Linked DNA regions of Drosophila melanogaster. The protein of the gene in region 1 interacts with the protein of each later gene in a pairwise test. Each region holds a gene or a part of one and is shown in the gene's direction. Other genes may lie near its edges. The genes, in order: indra, Tep4, chinmo and RPA3.

Evidence for each region.
Region 2: the proteins of indra (region 1) and Tep4 interact in a two-hybrid assay, tested with the Drosophila melanogaster proteins (one large-scale study listed by BioGRID).
Region 3: the proteins of indra (region 1) and chinmo interact in a two-hybrid assay, tested with the Drosophila melanogaster proteins (one large-scale study listed by BioGRID).
Region 4: the proteins of indra (region 1) and RPA3 interact in a two-hybrid assay, tested with the Drosophila melanogaster proteins (one large-scale study listed by BioGRID).

What each region holds. Positions count from the first base shown.
Region 1 is NT_037436.4:1,338,766-1,344,112, reverse strand, and holds indra (indra), read left to right. Parts: upstream 1-1,709; 5' UTR 1,710-1,721; coding exon 1,722-1,741; exon of another isoform or gene 1,742-2,043; coding exon 2,044-2,185; intron 2,186-2,251; coding exon 2,252-4,291; 3' UTR 4,292-4,653; downstream 4,654-5,347. Other genes in the region: Hmbs (hydroxymethylbilane synthase), read right to left, coding at 4,943-5,347. UniProt on the Drosophila melanogaster protein: Required for rDNA copy number maintenance and non-random sister chromatid segregation (NRSS) following unequal sister chromatid exchange. Binds ribosomal DNA (rDNA) preferentially binding to intergenic spacers (IGS) regions on both X and Y chromosomes.
Region 2 is NT_033779.5:19,547,558-19,555,719, forward strand, and holds the start of Tep4 (Thioester-containing protein 4), read left to right. Parts: upstream 1-2,135; 5' UTR 2,136-2,288; coding exon 2,289-2,371; intron 2,372-4,124; coding exon 4,125-4,856; intron 4,857-4,915; coding exon 4,916-5,342; intron 5,343-5,398; coding exon 5,399-5,736; intron 5,737-5,804; coding exon 5,805-6,358; intron 6,359-6,412; coding exon 6,413-8,162.
Region 3 is NT_033779.5:1,649,636-1,654,431, forward strand, and holds the start of chinmo (chronologically inappropriate morphogenesis), read left to right. Parts: upstream 1-1,622; 5' UTR 1,623-2,077; intron 2,078-3,139; 5' UTR 3,140-4,200; intron 4,201-4,796. UniProt on the Drosophila melanogaster protein: Required for morphological differentiation of postmitotic neurons during postembryonic brain development. Ensures production of appropriate neuron subtypes within a lineage by preventing precocious generation of late neuronal types of that lineage.
Region 4 is NC_004354.4:11,614,466-11,617,511, reverse strand, and holds RPA3 (replication protein A3), read left to right. Parts: upstream 1-1,671; 5' UTR 1,672-1,757; coding exon 1,758-1,994; intron 1,995-2,065; coding exon 2,066-2,167; 3' UTR 2,168-2,415; downstream 2,416-3,046. Other genes in the region: Met (Methoprene-tolerant), read right to left, coding at 1-644; CG1703 (uncharacterized protein), read right to left, coding at 2,557-3,046.

The sequences.
Region 1 (5,347 bases):
GCAACGCCATGCAATCGCACACGAATTGCGGATGGCGGATTGATTGAGCTGAACGAACGATACAAGATGCATAAATATTAGGGAATTTTTTATATACGAAATACAAGAAGGAAAACAAAAGAAACAAATGAAAGAAAAGAAGCAACTAAACTAAACTAACGAAAATCGGGTAGAAATCACGTCAAATGTAGATTTTGCGCAATAGACTGACATTTTAGATCAAATTTATTTTCTACACTCTAAAAATGGATTGATAACCGACCAGATGCCCCAAACGAGCCATACCAAATGCAAAGCTCACCCTACTTGCTCGCTATGCTTAAAATATTAAGAATATCATAACTACCAATGTTTCAAGCACCCGACAACCACCCACTACACGCTTCACTTGTTGTTGTACAGCAATTTCTTATAGCATACGACCTATGTATATTTATTTATGAAGATTATGAGAAACCACCACTTGTTGTAGTACATGGCAAAATATAAAGTGCAGCAATGTGCCAAAAAGAACCGAATCGGAGAATTGTACGAAGTGTCCTAAACGACTCTTAATTTTACTTTGCCTCCCGCCTACCACTACCACTAACTTTGAATTGTTGTGTTTAAAATTAAAGACCCTGTCCCCCCTTAAACGAGCACTTTATTAATGAATCGAAATTCAGCGCCATTAAAGCAATAACTTACGGTTAAACAAAACAGCTCGATGTACACCTATATCTCGTTTAACGCTTTTAAGGAGTGTTATAATCAAAATTGTTCATTTCGCACACTCGCCCCCGATCGATCTGAAATCAAAATAAAGTGATTCTTTTTTCAAATTGTGACCGTGGACTAGTTGCACGTGGCTAGTTGCAAATCAAATTAAACTAAAATCGGTTTACTAAGTCGCTAAGCGAAGTATAGGTGTATGATTTAATTATAATCCAGGTTTTGCCATAGCGAAACCATTTTGTATTAGAACGAGAGAACGAAGAAGGCGAAAGACTATTCAATGGTTTTTCCAGTAGAGTAAGTGTGCAGTCCCAATCCCAAGAAACATATTTATATAAACGTGTAGCGTGAGAGGACGCAAATATTTTTTATATGTGTAACCCACACTTTAACAAAATTCAAGTAACCACCCCCGAAAGCGAGGCACTATGAATCCATATGAAATCGGATGGGCCCAGGAGGATAACAAATAAAGGAAATACATATTTATATTAAGTATATTTAACAGAAACAACATGAACAATACCTAGTAATGCCTAGTTAACTAAACGTCGGCTAAGTACACCAACCGTACACTGAAACAAATCCAACACAACACAGTACTATACAATATTATGCCTATGAGAGAAAGAGAAAGGAGGAGCAGAGAAAGTATTCAAATAAAGCTATACGTTTAAGACATGAAAACTGCGAACCGCTTGATCCTGGCGCATTCCCTTGCCATGTCCTTGTCATTCATAACATTTTTCATCTCTTTGTTTGCAGGCGCGGGAACCGACTCAAAAAATCCAAGACAAAGTAACGGCACAGCCCATCCAGGTCAGCACCAACACAAAGAAACAAACTAAACATATCATTTTGCATTACTGTAGCTTCTAATGCCTAAATAAACTATTTTTAAATTGGAAACCAAGTTCAGAGTTATCGATTATATATCGACACGCAAAGCTGTTGCATAACGCGACGTGAGCATTAACAGAATGTTAATGTAACTTAGTGTGACCGGAATGCGCAATATACTGCTTTGGTAATATTTTTTAAAGTTGCTACTGCCATTATAGGTAGTTTAAAAACTGTTTTCTACACTCTTTCTAAATTTGATGCAAAAATTATTAAGATTAAGATTCGTTCTGCGAACGTTCTGCAGTTGCTTCTTTTAACGTGCAACCATAATATATAAGCACACTATGTGGTATATTTTGGTGACTCGGTCTGGCAGCACTGCAGTTGATTAACATAGATAGCAGTGTTTGGTAACTGTAGCCCCGCAAAAAAAAAAACGTGCGCACGTTGTTTGATTTCTGTTTTTGTTTTTGCTGGAAAACTTAGTGAAAATATGACCAAGGTGCAAAAAGAGGTGCGATGCGACCATTGCGGCACAAGCCAAGGGTCCAAGAGTGTTTTTTCAGGTCAGAAGGTGTTCCTGGGCAGGAAAATAACAGACGTACTGGAGACCATCACCCACAGAAGCGTGAGTTGGAAATGGCGGCATTCTGATTTCCCTTCTCGTCATCTAAATCATCCCATCCCATTTCAGATCCCATCATCCTTGCCCATCAAGATATGCTTCGTCTGCACCTCCACATTCATGTCCAGCGCGGCACTAATCGAGAAGGTCCGCGAGACGGTGGACAGGGTACAGGAGCAGCCCGCCAAGAAGACTAAGGTAGCGGAAATAGAGGAGCCATCGACACAGGAAAGCGATAAGAAGGCGGTTAAGGTGCCAAAAAAGAACACCACCCTCCGTCAGCGCAGCAAGTCCATAGCAGCTTTCCCGCCAAGCTTTGTGAATGGAGCTAATACTAATACAGAAATCGAGATCATTAGTGCTTCGCCCAAGAAACTCGATAAGACCCCTAAAAAGCAGATATCTCGACTCTTCGAGGATAATCTTAACGATTCGGTTAAGCTGACGCCCGCCAAAGAGGTGTCGTCTACTAAAAAGGCTTTCCTTAATCTCTTTGGCAACGGCGGCAACGATGCCATCGAAGTACTGACCGAGAGCGAGGAAGAGGAGGACTCGGATAAAGGTCCTATCACCATTAACACAAATAACTTTCAGTGTCCAGAGTGCGAATTTCACGCAAAGTTTCCCAAACCGTACAAGGAGCATCTGCAGAAGGAGCACGGTCTTCAAAGACCACGCATATACCCCTGTACCTTGTGTATTAAGACTTTTGGAGTGCTTAAGACTTTGAAAAATCATTTAAGGGACACTCACTCACGCACTTTTGAAAGCGAGGCTAAGACTAAGGCGAAGGAAAGCAAGGAAAAAGAGGCTAAGTCAGGGGCCAAGAATAAAATTGACGCAAAGGCAAAGGAGACCAATGCTGTGAGTCAAAGGAAGAAGCCAAAAGAAAAAAAGTCCAAAGAGAAAAAGACAGAGATCAAATGTAATGTTGAAACCAAAGTGGTTGACGAAATCGACGACCAAGTGAACAACAAAAAGGGCACAGATAGTGAGGACGCAGACCAGACCCAGGCTACCAAAATCGCCTCCTTTAAAGCGCTAAATGAGTCATTAATGAAGAAAAGGATGTTAGAGAACGTGATCGACTCGGAATATACATTTGCCATCAATGGATCCAGCGCCTCCACTCCCAGGGCGGATTCGAATAATTTTCAGTGCGAGATCTGCGACTGTGAGCTGATGACCGCCAAGCAGATGCAGGAGCACATGAAGACCGTCCACAGCATCGACAAGCCAAAGGTTTTCAAGTGCCACGTCTGCGAGAAGAGTTTGGCTACCAAACAGTCGCTGAAAACGCACATGACTCTACATGCCGACGGTGCTGAAGCGCCGAACTCCAGCAAGCGAAAGATTCTGCAGGACGAGGATGAGGACGTAGACATTCTGGGTACGACTCAGATTGAAAACACGGCCGAGAAGGTTGAAGGACCTAAGAAATCACAACAAAGCCCTACTAAAGCCGCAAAGTTCACCAACCGAAAGATTCTGCAAGAAGAGGATGAGGTTGTGGAAATTGTGGACGCTTTTAAGACTGACAACACCGCGGAGGATGATGAAGGACCCGCAGAAGAAAAGATTATACGATCCAGGAACAACATTCAGCACCAGGTCGATGGAGGCATGATTGCACCTCGGTCGCCAGCTAAAAAGACAAAGAAGACCAGTCACGTAGATCTGTCTGTGTCCACAACCAATGGCAATTCGCCTGCAAAGTCAGAAAAACGAAAAAAACAAGACAAATCTGAGGACACGCTCCCCTCATCTGATGTAGACATAGTGGAAGAAATCAACTACAACGTGCGGCCGCACAAAAAGGCTCGCCTGGAGTCCATTGGTGACTCAACAGCCGACGAGTCGACCCTCAGCTGCGACCGGTGCGGGAAGTTCGTCAAATCGCGTCAACGCTTGGACTCGCACATGGAGAAAAAGCACGCCGCCAAACTACAGTGCACCCTATGCAAGGAAGTCTACCAGAACCAAATGGATTACGTGGCTCACTTCTCGAACTGTGGTTCCGAAGGTGGACTTCCATGCGGCGTAGCCAATTGCAAGAAGGTCTTCACGGAGGCCAACTTCCTATCCTCGCACCTGCGCAAGCGCCACTAGTTGCACTAGACTCCCTTTTATTTTTGTTTTTCATTTCATTCTCTTGACCAATGTAGTTTTACGTTAGCTTATTGCTATGTTAAGTATAATTCTTTGAATTTTCAATGGCTAACTTTGAAAGGGTCTATATAAAGTTGATAAAAGTCGATGAAAACTGCAATTTATAACAAGGTTACTTCATACATTTTTAACTATTATTAAGTTCAATTCAAAAGATAAGTTTAATTTGTATATTAAGACTTTATTATAACCGCATTGGTTACACCACTTGTACTCACCAAGAGTATATAAATTAGCTTGAATGTAATAAACATATTTGTACTGAGCGATGAACTGTTAATAAAAAATGGCAAAAAGCTACGAAATTGCTTGTTTCAATCAGTGGAGAGAAAAAATGACACAATATGAGTTCACTTATACATTTATTTGTCATATTCCCGAAACAAAAACAAAACTAAAATAACGTTTACGCGGAAACCAACCATTAACGATGCATTCGCCGGGGAGAGCAGAAGGATTGAATACAATACCGATGTTAAATCAGGGGAAGCATGAGTTCTCCACGGGAGTTCAACAACGAGGCGGAAATGAAAAACATTTTGTCTAGTTACACTTTTCTACTTAATGTAAACGATGATATTGATGACGGGCTCAAGACGACGCCACTTTGCCGTGAATCTCTGCCTGGGCCACCTTCATCACGTCGAGGGCGCCGCGCTTGATCAGGTCCTCCGCCAGCGTCTTGCCCAGCTGGTTGGCCTTCTCGTAGATGCCCCGACTGTGACAGGCGTGCTGGTAGAGACCGCAGAACAGGTTTTCCACATCCTCAATGAGCACCGAGTGCTGCGGCGTCGGCTGCTCCTCGTCGGCGTAGTCGAACATTTGGACCGTTTTCTGCAGGAACGGGCACTTGGCTGTGGCTGCGTTTCCGTTGTCCTTAGCCGGCGCCTCAAGACCGCTGCCCTGATGCATGGCCGCAAAGGGACACTTGGAGGAAGTTGCAACATTATCCACTTCATCGCCAGCGCTGCTGGCATTACTGGCTCTGCTGCTCGG
Region 2 (8,162 bases), on another chromosome or scaffold:
TCCTACAGCGCATTTGTACTAATACAAAATATACGGTTAAATAAATTTTCATACTTATCCGACTACAAAAATAATATCTATTAAATTGGTCATTTTTTTGAGGTAGCGTTATGAGATTTGAAGGAGAGGATTAGCAGAGTTTGAGTAGCTCTACATATGTACCATAGATAGTTCTGTGGATTCATTTCTATTTTCATTTACTTTAGTGATTAACCGAAGAGATAGACATAATCGCGACACATGTCCATGTATGCCTTACTATCTCATATTTATGTATGTAGATGCCAGTTTTTCGGCTCTCCAAACTTAAAATATACCGACTAGGAATTTGGAATAATAAAACATTTTGTTCAGCTTTGCGAACTTTCAATATTATTACGTATACAGTTCACAAAAAAAGGTTCAAGATTCAATTATTCCTGCCTGCATATACATATGATGTATTAGCTTTACAATAGCTTTAAAAAATAGTTTTTTCATAAAAATATTTGTATATTCAGTTAGTTATTATGAGCGTATTTTGCAGGCAGTATACTTTCTGGGTGAAAGCCAAGGAAGATTACTTGTTACAAGCAAATTAATTCACCATACATCACCACAATTTAATTAATCATGAAATTACAGCGTTTTAAAGCTAATTCCTTTCCTAGATTGCAGCGTATTCATATCACCCAATATCACTACTTATAGATTACACGGAACCGAACCGCACGAGAGAAAGAACAAACGGGGAATCACCAAGAGAAACGCAGTTGAGCGAATATCTCTTATATATTGGCATTACTCATCGCTACATTATATACCCGTTTCATTTGCAAGGCAGTGTGAAATACAGCCAAGTGACGTCATCATTCGGCAAATCAAGAGAGCGACATCTAACAAAACAACAACAGCTGACTCAGAGAGAGCAGGAAAGAGTTTTCGATATATATGTACACAACGCCTAGTCAGTTGGTCTCCGTATTTCGATTTAGGAGGCAGTTCCGTTAACACTGCAAATCAACAAGTCCAAATAATATTGCACGCACGTCATTTGCCACACGACAAAAACATAAATATTTGTATTCAATTCATATATTGGGATTTTACGCGAGATCTTCGCAAAAAATCATTTGGGCTTTTCCAAAAACCAGATAATGTACGTAAATTATTTAAAAGGAAAATCTATATTTCAAATCATTGCGAAACACGAAGCGACAGTTATTGGTGACAATTAAAGTGTTAATTATCGAAAAACCCCACACGAAATATGAATAAGTTGTTATAATTTGACTATTGCATGACGATAGTTCTGTGACAAATAACTGAAATATCACTCATGGGCAATCAGTAATACCAACTTTCTGTTCTTCTATACAGTCACGCCTATTTGTTCGCCCTTTATTCGTAATATTCATATAATATATTCATTTCTAAAAATGGTGAAATTCGAAACATTAATTTTTTGCAATTTTTTAGCAGTAAATCCCTATTTCCCATTTATTAGTCCAATTATGATTGAAACTGGCCCGAGTGAATACTCGAATCAATATTTGAAAATATGATGAAAATAGAAACATTCATCTTTGGTGTTTTTGAACAGTAAATTCCCATAAATCCATCCTGTATTGTATTCTTTTGAACAGTATGTTCCCCTAACTTCCTTCTAAAATCAAATTACGAATGATTTTTAAGCTGAAATTGGTCCAAGTGAATACTCACAAATGTAATATTTGTAAATATGATAATTAGAAATAATCATCTTTGATCCCTTTGACCAGTAAATTCCCATAAATTCCTTCTTAAATCAAATTACGAATGATATTTCAGCGGCAACTAGCCCAAGTGAATACTCACGAATGAATATTGATATTGGAGTGCCGGCGTTTTTTGTGGCCATGTTATTATTGTTAAGGTTTTGTTTGCCCAACTCGCGTCATCGATTTCAGTGGGCGCACCACATACACCGCCACACACACACACACACACACACACACCACAACAACACACACTCTGCCAGTTTTATTTACTTATAATTTTTATCAGTTTTTTTTTTTACGACTTGCTCGCCCCACTGGAGCTCGGCTTCGTCTGCCGGGCCTGGGGTTTTAGAGTCGCTCGGTATTATAACAAATCCGTGGGCCATCGAACCGAACCAGTCCCAGCTCGGCTCTGATCCCAGTCGGTCGCAGTCGCTCAGTCGCTAACCAAACTTCCGCCAGCATCGATCCCGCGCATTATAGCCTTATAATATCTGTGCTCTTATTTCCCATCCTTTTTGCCCTCATTTGACCACCAATCCAATCAAAATGCGTCGCGCAGACGCTTTTGCTGTCTCGCTTTGTGTGATTTTGGCCTTGCTGCAGACGATGGAACCGGTAAAAGCCGAGGGGTAAGTCCATATACCACAAATACTATACTATATGATCGGATCGATTTTAAAACACATCTACGGTTAGAGTATTAGTAGAGTCGGGTTAGGAATTCGCAAAAATATAGGCGATAATCAAAGCCAGATATCTAAAACTATAGTTCTTTACAAAGCTGGCCTATAAAACGTATTGTTCTTACTTCGGTTATTCGGTTGATAATTTGAATAAAAACTGATGGCTAAAAATTTTAACCATTTCCCTAATACGCTAGTGGTTGGATTCCCGTCTCACTCGAACACTTAAACACAGATTACTGCAATCCAAACTATATTATCTATGTTTATTACTTATTACCACTATTATATTCACAGTCACTGTATGGCTGTCGTCGAATATTTCAATTAATTAGGTATGCATATATGTATACAGATAGGGCCGTTTTTAATGAACATCAAGGTAATTAAGCTGTTATTTATACGCAAAATCACCTATTAGCTTAATTGTTTATACCATCTGGTTTGTCCTTGGATTTATAGGAGAGTTTTTTTACGGTTTTTACAAATCACTAACCTAATAACATTTTGCTCTACATTTTTCAAATAGTAATTTAACTTTTAGATATATAATTATGTATATAGCAAATGTTAAACATCGTTCCTTATCACACCTATAAGATTAAACACTAGACTTCTGTCCACGTAGTGACGATGAGCACCTAAAAGGGTGAATTTGGGGAAATTCAATAAAATTGAAAATCTGGTACGATAGTCCGATCACAACTATTCACTCACTTCAAAAATATTCAGAATTTCTTTTTTAAAGAGGTTTAGTTACTCCGAACTAATATCTGGTATTTAATTTTTGAGTTGAAGGTGCCATCGCCACTTTAATCTCACCTTGTTGAGGGGTGTTTTATTTTCTTCATTTTTGTTGAGCTCAACTTATGATGCTAATTGAGTTTCACTGTAAGCCATTTTGAATATGGATTTTTATATTTTTTACTCAAACAAGAGGATCACGTCACATACTTTGTTTGCCTCAATGGTTTCGCTGATCAATCTTTCACACGATCTTAAATCTGTACTTTTTCCTGTCCCGCCAATTATTAGTAATTAGAAACGAATATGAAGGTGGGTTATGGAACACACTTAAAAATGTCATAAACTTGAAGTCTAACATAAAAGGCTGGAACAAATCTAATCCAAAAAAGTTAATGATGTTCAGGCTAACAATATTGGTGTACGTGATCGGGGACTGTAAGTGCGAGAAAGATTGCTAATCGCAAAAGCTGGAATTATGTAATCTCTAAGCCGGTTTCATACTTTTCAGTAGAAGATCAGGTTCTGGGAATATTATCCGTTATATATATATATACATATATATTTCATCATTTGCTGTCACAGATCAAAAAAACCATAACTCAAAAACCTAAACCGAATCTTAGACTGCCTTTTAAAGATTGGGAACATTATCAAGTCGAGGTTAATGGTTTTAAGTTTCATTTCTGTGTTTCCCTAGAGATTAGACAATATACATTTATTTTTGAATTCTTAGAGCATGGTCAAGAATTTGATATTGATAATTTGAATATTGATAGCTATAGTTACTATCAAGAAATACAATACTATATATTATACAAATACAATACTACAAATATTTCCAAGTGGATATGTGTATGTTTTTTTCTCTTCTTGGAATTTTTTATGGCCGAATTGTTATTTGATTTTATTTTGTTTTTCATGACAATAATGTTGATGTTTTCTTTGCTTCCAGCAAGTACACCATTGTGGGTCCCGGAACCATCCACTCCCACCGTGACTACAATGTGGCCGTGGCTGTCCATCAGACCAAGGAGCCAGTCACCCTGAAAGTGGGCATCACTGGACCCTCCTACAACAAAACTGAGACCGTGGAACTAGCCACTGCCGGTGAGTTCAAGCAGATCACCTTCAAACTGCCCCCATTGGAGGCGGGTGAATATAATCTGACGGCGGAGGGCGTCAAGGGACTGGAGTTCAAGAACTCCACCAAGCTGAACTGGGAGAATTTCAAGCCATACATTAAAATCCAGACCGATAAGGGAAAGTACAAGCCCGGTGATACTATCAACTATCGTGTGATCTTCCTGGACGAGAACCTGCGGCCGGATACCGCTAAGGATGAAGTGGTGGTTTGGTTTGAGGACTCCAAAAGGAACCGCATCAAGCAGGAGAAACACATAAAGACCACCGGTGGCGTCTACACTGGCAAATTCGAGCTCTCCGAGTTCGCCACATTGGGCTCCTGGTCCCTTCATGTTCAGAATGGAGATCAGCACCACGACGGAGGTATTTACTTTGGGGGTCGTAAACAATTTGGAGGATTTGGTCATCGCTGGCATCGCTCGGATGAGCTCGTCAACTTTGAGGTGGAGAAGTACGTGCTGCCCAAGTACTCCGTCAAAATGGATGCCACGCAGCAGGTTTCAGTGCGAGATGGCGAGTTCAATGTCGTCCTGAAGGCCAAGTAAGTATTACCGGAAGTTTTATGCTTTAGGACATTCTTATATCAGCATTATCCCCCAGCTACACCTATGGTAAGCCCGTGAATGGTAAAGTTCTTGTCAATGTCCATCTGGACTCGACGAGCAGTTGGGAGAATGTGGACGGCAAGACAGTGCAAACGGACTACCCCGGACATTCTGTTGTTGGCACCGCCGACATGGTCGGAGGCAAGGCCAAGTTGACCATGGATCTCAAGGACTTCGCCAGTTATCTGCCGCACAAGACCTCTTCTTCATATGCCCAGATTACGGCTACCGTGGAGGAAGACTTCACCGGCGTGAAGCTCAATGAAACAGGCGGTGTGCAGCTGTACCCCTATCGGTATGAGATGTCCTGCACTGACTACTCCAGTTGCTTCTCCTTCAAGCCCGACAAGGAACATGAACTTAACTTCAAGATTACATATGTCGACGGCTCACTAATTACAGACACCAAGTCTGTTGTGAAGGTGGGTTAGAAATCTTAAGAGATCTGTCACTACTTATAAATTCGTTTTAACTCTAGGCCAAGTTCACTGAAGGAATTCGACGCAATTATGCTTTCTATGCCTTTGGAACAGATCATCAAGAACCGGAATTGCCAACGATTGAGAAGAAAACGTTTGTGTTTGAAAGCCATTTGAATGCGTCTGGTGTGGCGCCTTTCAAGGTGGTTCTTCCCGATTTGCCGGATATCGCCAACTTTACTCGTTACTATAGCATTGAGCTGGAGTTCGTCGATGAAAAACGAGATCTGTACACCACTTATCCCTACAGGGAACCAAAACAGATTGAAAATCCTAGCTCTGAAGAGGAAAAGGAGTGGTTCAGGGCAGAAGTTCAGAGGCCCAAGGACGTCTGGAAGTGAGTACAGTTGAGTTGAGCAAGGGTTCCACGATTTTAAATAACCATATACAATACTTCTATTGCAGCCTCAAGATCGGGCAGGAGTATCAAGTAATCCTCAACTCCAGTCGTCCGCTCAAATACTTTGTGTACAACATTGTGGGACGTGGAAACATATTGGAAACGAAACGTGTGGACCTCGCGGAACCCCAAACGACCGTCAACGTAACCATTAAGCCCACTTTCCTCACTACTCCCTATGGTCGGGTGTACTTCTACTACGTGGATGAGACAGGAGAGTTCCGATATACCGAGGAAACATTCAGTGTGGAGGTCGAGCTGCAGAACCAGATCGAAATCAAGGCTCCCGCGGAAGTTAAACCGGGTGCCGACGTTGCACTGGAGATCAAGACGTCGCCAAAGTCATTCGTTGGATTGTTGGCCGTCGATCAGAGTGTCCTTCTGCTGGGCAGCAACAACGATTTGAACAAGGAATCCTTCAACTGGCGCCTAAATGGCTATGACACCTCAACTCCCTGGCAGGGTGGATACTCCTACTACCCCGGAGAGCGAACTGGAGTCGTGACTATGACCAATGCCTATTTCTTCTATAATCGCACCGCCCCAGACTACAATATTCGTACGTATAAATTTGTCATAATAATAAACCACATTAATTTGCAATTATTGGAAGTTACAGAAGGATTTGGTGGAAGCTCTTTCGCCATGAGAAAGACTACAGTGGCACATGATAGTCATGTATTCCATTCCGGTGCTGGCGGACCAACTCAGGCCGTGGGATTCTCCGCCGAAAGTGCGTCTGCATCTGCAGCACCAGTAGTGCGAAAGAATTTCGCAGAGACCTGGATCTTTGCCGATATCGAGAGCACCGAGGAGGAGGTGTTCAAGTGGGTAAAGACCATACCCGATACGATCACCAACTGGGTGGTCACCGGCTTTTCACTGCATCCCCAGAAGGGATTAGGTGTCACCAATGATCAGACAAATATCAAGACATTCCAGCCGTTCTTTGTCTCCGTTCGATTGCCATACTCCGTGAAGCGAGGTGAGGTGATCAATGTACCGGCACTGGTCTTTAACTACCTGCCCAAGACACTGGACGTGGAACTGACCCTGGACAACGAGGATCAAGAGTATGACTTCGTGGATGCCTCGAATGAGGTTATTGGTGACCAGAAGCGTACGCAGAACATCAGAGTGGGCGCCAACGAAGCGGCAGGAGCCTCATTTTTGATCCGACCCAAGGTCATTGGAAATATTTTGCTGAAATTCAAGGCCATCTCACCGCTGGCCGGAGATGCTATACACAAGCCGCTAAAGGTAGTGCCCGAAGGAATTACCCAGTACCAGAACAGGGCATTCTTTATCAATCTTAAGGATACGGGTGAGTTTAAGAACACCTTCGAGCTGGAAGTGCCGGAGGATGTGGTCCCCGACTCCGAGCGTGTGGAATTCGGATTGGTGGGTGATCTCTTGGGACCAGTGGTCAAGAACCTTGAGAACCTGTTGCGATTGCCCAGCGGTTGCGGTGAGCAGACCATGTCCAAATTGGTGCCCAACTATCTGGTGAGGGATTATCTGAAGAGCATCAAGAAACTCACACCTGCATTGGACACTCGCATCAAGAGGAATCTGCAGGACGGATACCAACATATGTTGCACTATCGCCACGACGACGGCAGCTTCAGTTCCTTTGGGCCCACCAAATGGAGGCAGGAGGATCCAGTGCGCAATGGTTCCACCTGGCTGACGGCCTATGTGCTGCGCTCGTTTAGCAAGATCAAGGATATAATTGACTTGGATGAGCAGATCCTGGCCAAGGGCTACGAATTCCTGTTAACTCGACAGGCAGAAAATGGTAGCTTCACGGAACACGGAGAGTATTTCTATAGCTCCCAGCGATCTCTATTGACATTGACCGCAAATTCCTTGCTCGCCCTGCTGGAGGAGGAGAAACCGAACCAGGCTGCCATTGACAAGGCGGTTGCCTATCTGAGCGCCAATACTGCCGAGTCCATTGAGCTCCTGCCCAAATCCATTGCCATTTATGCCCTGCAAAAGGCCAAGGCGCCGGAAGCTGCCAAGCAGGTGGCCAGTCTTAAGTCCCTGGCCAAACACGAGGACGATCGCACCTGGTGGACCGAGGATCTGGATAAGCTGCGTGCCTCCAAGAACTGCGGACGCTGGTGGTGTTGGATCTGGAGTCAGGATGTGGAGATCACATCATATGCGCTGCTTTCCCTTCTGGATTCAGACCAGGAGACAGCCGACTCTGTTCTGAACACCGTTCGCTGGTTGATCGCCCAGCGTAATGGCTTCGGAGGATTTGCCTCCAGCCAGGACACGGTTGTCGGCCTCACCGCCCTCATTAAGTTCGCTGAGAAGTCGGGCTACGAGGCGGCCAAGTGGGAGGTGACCGTTTC
Region 3 (4,796 bases), on another chromosome or scaffold:
GAGAGCCAAAAAGAGAAGCACAGGGGTGGATTTAGGAGGTGGAGTGAGGTTTATTGGCGCTCGACCGAAAAATGCACTGCATTTTTCGTTATGGAAAGGGTTTGATCTAGTGGTATTTTTATAAAATAAAAATATATGAAATTAATTTAAAATGCATCGAAAAAGAATTATTAAGGAACGCGTTCCGGAATAATTCCACTTCCGACTGGGGAAGCAAAAGCAGCAGCAAAAGCAGGAGCTTTTGCCTTTGCTTATTGGATTTTCGACGCCGGCACTCCACGTGTTTCTTGAATCGCGTAAATTGTTCGTTTTCCCTTACCACACCCCGCCCCTTTACCGACAAGCTTTCATTGTCATTGTGTGTGCATAAAATGGCAGCAGAGAGAGAGAGAGAGAGAGAGAATGGGAAAACATGCGCCAAAAAAAAGCTTACCGCTCTCTCCTCTCTTTCGCTCACTGCAAAACGAATGCGCATTGTTATTGTTTTTGGCAAGGCTGCACTGAAAAAAAAATACTGTTGCTAACGAACTGTCAATGAATAGAAATAAGGTAATTGTTTGATTCAACTTTATCAACTCTTTTTCCACTAAAATTAAGTGGTTATTGTTTGATTGGCTAGGAATTTGATATTTTTGATGGGAATTGCATTCAAAAAAGGGACTCCTGACACTTGTGTGAATAGGGGAAGTTTTTGGGCTGAGAAATGAAAAGCATTTTGAGGGTTTTTGTTCCAATTTTGATGGTTTGATCGGAAAGTTCTCAAGGGATATGCAAATTATGCGAGAACTGAGTAGTTAGGTTATTATTGTTTTCTTCCTAGAAATCAAAGACCAATTGTAAGAATTTTCTAAAGAATTCCAAAGAATTCCACTAAAAAAATTTTATCCTTTACTTTTGTTTTCTGAGAGTGATCAAGATTTTAAAGAAACGTAATGCGTTCTTTTGCATTAAAGCTATGCAATTAACATTTTTCCCATATTCCCATCTTAACTCATTGTGCCGATCTTAAAGTGGTTTTCCATATAAATCGCCTCTTGCGAACCCTATTTCTATTGCATCTAATATTCAGAGACCACCTGGATGGAATCCCCCGCTGTTCGAATAGGTTAAGACCAAGTTAAGGTTTGCTTTTGCTATTTCGGGACGAGATTTCCCTAAACATTTTCCACTTGAGCGGAGCTCCTATAAATTACCTCATGTCCTTTGCCTTATGCAATTGCGCCTGCAAAAGAGAGAGTGAGAGAAAGAGTGAGAGACTCACCCCCGGATTATGAGGATATATGTAATTTTTATCCTGGGGCGGCAGTGCATACACACAGAAAAAGACATGCAAAAAGCAGTTGCAACGACCATTACTTCTACTCGCCTGAGTAAATTGTGTTCTAAAAATCATTAAAAAAAAATATGTAAACTATTTTCTGTTATACTTTAGACTATTTTCGGTTATCCTTTTTAAGAATCCTTGTTGGAGATGTCCAATCTGACAATTGCAAGTTGCTCGCCTGCATTCCAATTGGATTAAAAGCTCGCTCGCTCGCTCGCGCTCTCTTTCTCTCTCTCTCTACGGAGCACACCACTGCACGCTTGTTCGTTCGCCGCCTGTTGGAATCGAAATCGAATCGGCAGTCAAAAAGAAACTGCCGTGTTGAACGGACGTGTTGAAGTTTCGCGGTTGCTTGTTTCGGTGGTGCTCGCAGCAGCAGCAGCGTTTGTGCATTCGCATTCGCAGTCGCAAATTCGCATCGCCTCGTCGCTCGTCAGCCCTGGCAACTGCAGGCAACTCAAGTTTTACACGTAAATTAAGAAACGAGGAAGCACGGACAGAATCGAAACCGCTTGATAAAACAGTTATTCTCTACATTTCTGAACTGAAAGAACTGCAGCGGATGAAGTGCAAAAAGCGAAAAGTGCTAAAAGTTTGCGGCATTGAACACTTTTAATTATTATTTACGTTTTGTTTGTGTTTCGTCGAGCAAAGCAAATGCACAAACTAACTGTCCAGTGTGCATGTGTGTGGCAAGAGTGCGTGAGTGCGTCGTGAGTGTTGCAAAACGGCTGTTCGCCTAGTAATTCAAAGGTAATTTTGAGTGAATATTGATCATATTGAAGTGCATGTGGTATGTTTCAAAGCTCAAATAAAGTGACATAAAATCAAAAATGAACAATTATGCGTGTGTACTTGGTTTTCTCGCACACATGAAATTCTGGCCTATGTGTGTGTGTGTGTGACTTTGCAACTCGAATTTCAAACGGTACAAAACGCAGCATAAAAAATGAAGCGAATAGCAAAAGCAAACTGAGAAAAAGTGAAGTATAGACTTTTATGCATAACCAAAACGTCTGCATTTTTAATCAAGCAACAACAATAGAAAAATAAGCAAAAGCAAACTACAACAACAACAGCGAGGAGTACATGGAACAATAAACAACCCTCCCCGTTTTCCGCCTCCCCCTGAAAATAAACAAGGCGCAATACCAGTGAACTGAACCCCTTTTTTGCACTGTGTGTTTATGTGTGTGTGTGTGTGTGTGTGTGCTACGAAATAGCAATTAAGGGAGAATAGAGGAAAGTGCATGAAGTGCAGGAAAGAAGGCAAAATGCAATTAATCCCCAGGACACTTGTTCAAAAAAGCGAGAGAAAAGTGTAGAATAACGGTGAACAAGTGTTGAACAACTACAGAAATACACTACAAAATGTGAAAACTTCTTAAAAATAGTTTTGAAGTAAATGTTCTTAAAACAATTAGACAATTCACTGCTCAAATAAAAATGTTTCCCCTTCCCCAAAATTTCCAAGTCCCAATGCCATATAAAGTGTTTTTGAGTAGAATAAAAGACATTTGCCAGAAGCAAAGTGGGAATTACGGTCCCAAAATGGGAAAATGAAATATATTCTGCGATAATAAAATCATTAATCCAATTCCACTTACAAGAAATCGGGCTGATAAGAAACCAGAAATTCTGGGCACAAATGAAATGAAATTTATTCGGGTGAACTGTGACAAATTAATATAATATTAAAAAGAAAATGAATACTTAAAACATGTCACATTATCCCCGAATAGATTTGAGTTTCAATCAGCCAAATTCCACTTACACTTTTTAATAACAATTTTCTAACCGCTTTTGTATTTGCAGCCAAATGTCAATGTGAAAATGTCTCAACGAGCAAATTTTAGGAAAGTCAAGAAAAACATTCAACGACCTCAAAACCAGCGAATGCTACAAAATGCGAATCAAGAACATTTAACCATCTAAATATTCAAAATCAATTTAATTGAATCAAATAACGCGAAATTGCAACAAATCAACCTAAAAATGAACTGAAAACAAAAACATTTCGAAAAACAACGCAAAATTCTAAAATTGGCAACATAAGTTTTGGTCTTGAATTAAATACAACAAAAATAAATTAACAAAAAACGATTTTTGGCAACAAAACATCATACATAAAATATACACAAATTGTAATTATCTCAAAACGTCCACACGTGAAAATGATTTGCAACTAAGATGACAATCTAATAAAATCAATGTAAATTTTTAACGCAACAAAAGGAAAACCAAAACCGTCAGCAAAAACCAGCCCAAAATCAGTTGAAAAGCCGAGGGAAATCTTTTTAGAACAAACGCAGAAAACCGCAAAAATTTAAGCCACCAAATTGGTAAACTATTCAAAATTATTGGTTCGGACATACGCAATACTAAACACAGCAACACAACAACAACAACAACAACAGCAACAACAGCAGCCATAGCAACTACTACAGTGATCACTACAGTAAAAGCAACCGCAACAGAAGCAGCAGATAAAACGTGTGTGTTAGTTTGCATAAAAATTTCGTTTCGATAAAAGCAAAGCAAAATCATTTAACAAAATAAATAAAGAATAAAGTAAAAAAAAAAATTACCAATCGTAATACATGTATTTATAAAATATATACCTATACATATATCTATGCTTACGAATTATATCGGAGAATATTTGGTAAACAATTTTTGATAAAAACAACTCGAGTATATATCCTAACTAATTAGCAACAAAAAGAACTAGAACATTTGGCCTAAGTGAAAAAAAAAGTGAAGTGAGAAAAACTAAAAAGAAAAACTTATAAATTCAAAATTACCACTTGTGAAAGGTGTTACAACTGAGGATTCTGGATTTGGATTAATGCGTAAATTTGCAATTGAATATTAAGGTGAGTTTGTTATGTTATATTTATGAAAAATTCACAACTTGTCATTTTTTCACACATCTCTTCGCATTTCTTAATGGCCCTTTTAAGTTTCCCCACGCACGAAAAAGTGCGTAAAATGAAAAATGTTTTTTTTTTTTTTAGAAAGTGTCCACAAACATTTGCAAACAATTACCGCTCGTAAAAAAAAGGCAAGTGCTCCGCCTCTAATTACAATTATAATTTATGCAAAAAGTAAGGAAAACATTTTTTGGTCAAGAGAAAAATTGTCTACGCACTTTGCGTATGATTTATGACACTCAAAACTTGGCGTTGCATATTAATACGCGAGAAAAAAGCAAAAGTTGCTTGCTTGTCACTTCTACATGTGTATCTACGCACACACACACACAAACTCTCTCACACACTCACGCACGGAAAGGGGTGTAGATATTTTTTGGGGTTGTGCATAAATTAAAAATATATTACTTCTGCTTCTTGCCGATGCACAAAAAAAAAAAAAAAATGCGGCGCAGTTGACACGCAATATTTTTCGACTGCGCTGCCGGCGCCGCTGCCACTTTGACCTACTTAGCAAACGCAGCGTGTTCCAAATTTTG
Region 4 (3,046 bases), on another chromosome or scaffold:
GACGTGGAAGTGGAGTGCTGCTGGGGATTGTGCCCCTGCTGCTGGTGGTGCTGATGCTGATAGAACAGGGTCTCTATATCCCTGGGTATTAGCTGCTGTCTTAACAGATCCTGATCATCGGGATGCGTGATCTGCAGTAGATTCTGGCCATACAAATCGGACTGACAGTGACCCAATAGCTGCTCCACGCTGGTGGATACCAAAACGATTTGGCCACTGCAGGTTAGGGTGAGGAAGCAGCAGTCCAGCAGTTGCATTAGAGTGTCCGTTAGATGCAGACTGGGATTGGGTAGATCTCCGACAGGTGAGGCAGACATACCCGTTCCCTTGAGGCCGGTTTTCTTGCGACGTCTGGAAGCGGACTTGCCAAAGACATACTGAAGTCTCAGGCCATGGGTGGCGAATCTAAGGACGGCGGTTTTGTCCAGGCGACGGGAGGATTCGGCTGCATGTGGTACCATGGTGGCCAGCTCCTGGATGCTGGCATTAAGCTTATCCCGTCGCTGTTTTTCGGCAAGGTTACGGGCCTCCCGTCCATTCGCTGGATCTGAGGAGCTCCCACTTCCCGATCCCGATCCCGATCCCGATCCTGTCGAGCCAGCGGATCCTGTGGAGCCCGTGTTGCCCGTCTCTGGTGCTGCCATTTTGGACTTTTTGGGCGTTTTCTGGAGTTACTGCCTCCTTGTTTTCCACTTGTAATCCTCGATTTATGGATTTTCCCCTTTAATTGGCGCCTTGCGGTAAATGAAAATCGTCACTCTCCATAACAGGGTGTACGCTCCGCACTTCTAGAATTGTTATTATGGAAATTTTTCGGCTAAAATATATTTTTTATTACTTTTGCAGCTTTTAGTTTCTTATTTTTGGCTGTTGTCTTGTTTTTTTTGCTGCTTTTAAAGTTTTCAAGGTCTCGCTTATGCTGTGCTGTTGTTTTTGTTTTTGCTCGCCTCCCCTCTCTCGCTCACTCTCCTTCGCTCACTGACACACACACACACACGTCACTCTCACGCAACGTACATATGTTTTCTCTTTTCGCTTTCGTACTTTTCCACTTGCTTTTAGTCTTATTATTACTATTATTTGCTTCCCTATTTATTTATGCGTTTCGCCTTGTAGTTTTTTATTTTTCGTTTTTTTTTTACGTTTTGATTGCGTTGCGAATCTGAATCTCCTGCTTATTGTTGTTGCTGTTGCTGGTGGCGTTGTTGTTGTTGCGATTTAATGCCCGCAATAAGGAAATTCGGAGGGCGGCGGTCGTTTTAACAACGCACTTGCTGCTTGCACTTATTTTTGTTTATACTAAGTGATTAATTGTTTATTTGTAACATTTATTTTATAACAATAAACATTGGCCAGTCTAAAAACTATCGATACATCGATGTAACTGGTTGTCGTACTAAAATTCGCACGTTCACACCGGACAAAATATCAGAAAGATTCGAACATCTTGTTCGCTGTCGATAACATTGTTGTAATACATGTAATCTATCAGGTCTTTTTATAATTCTATTATAAATTATTTTTATTAATTCTTATTATAATACATAAGTCCACAGTAATAATGTAATAACTTTTGATGTTACAATAAATCCATAAATATTTTTGCTACAAAATTCGAATAATTTCGATAGCAGACGTCATGCAATTTTATTATCGATTAGCACGCTCGATAACTATTGGCGCTCTTTCTTGTTTACGGCATTTCATTTTCTGCTGAAATTGGCTGTTTTTTGAACGTTATTAACTGAGGAGTTATTATGGATGCCTTTGATCCACGCTCGATTATCAACGGCGGCATGCTGAAGCAGTTTTCCGGCCAAACCGTGAGCATAATGGTTCGCGTGGAGAGCGTCGCGGGATCCACTTTGCTGGCCAGTTCCACAGACAACCACAAGCTAAAGATCAATCTGCCGGGTGAGCTGGGCGCCGCCGAAGGGGCCTGGGTCGAGGTCATTGGAGTGCCCCATGGTGCGGACACCCTCAGGGCCAAGGAGGTGGGTGCACTCAATCCATGGAGTCATTTATTTCAATGATCCCAAACCATTTGCCCACTATTCATTTGCAGGTCATCGAGTTTGGCGGCGAGAACATCGACTTCGATAAGGATGGCTATAATGGATTGAGCCACCTGATTAACAATGTCAAGGCCTTCTATCGCAGCGGCTAGGATGTCCACAATTATATCTAAGAATTAATATTATGTACTCTAATGTTATTTTTTCCATTTTTTTGGAGAACACTCAGAGCTGGCATTAACTTTAAATATAAATCATCTATCTACATATATTACGAGTACAATTTACGGGTGTTTTAACCAGTTCCACGTATATTCTACAACAAATACTTAATACCCACAATTTAATAACATAAACAACACATTCTTAAACGCTCTTGTGTAATAACATTTACTTCCACAATTTGTTATTGTATATATGTTGGTATAAAAAGACTAACTAGCAGATAATCAATTCAACAGTTGAACAATTAACATAGGGCGAGCCAGCTGACGAGTGATGACCAGTTGCATGGACTCCAAGTCCGTATGCAACTTGAGGGTTATTGCAGCACAGCCGCATTGGCCACCACGCTAGGATTGTTGACCACCTCGCCGAGCGAATCGAGAACCTCCTTTCTGTAGTCATCGAACTCTCCAACAATCTCGTTGATCGTCTGATCCTCAATTACGTAGAGAGTGCAACCTGTTTCACGGATCAAACGCTCGTCGTGGGAGACGATGATCACGCCACCCTCGTACTCGTTGATTGCCTCCGCCAAGGCGTCGATACTCTCGATGTCCAGATTGTTCGTAGGCTCATCGAGAATTAGTACATCCGGCGCACTCAAGCATAGCTCAGCGAGGGCCACACGGGCTTTCTGACCACCGGACAGATCCTTCATCTTGATGGTGTGTGCATGACTGACCAAACCAAAGGAACCCAATGCCTTACGCGCCTTTTCGTGGGGCAGATTGAACAGACGCTGCAGGTACTCTGCAGCCGATTCCTCTGCCGTGAGATGTTCACCTGAGTGCTGATCGAAGCGGCCC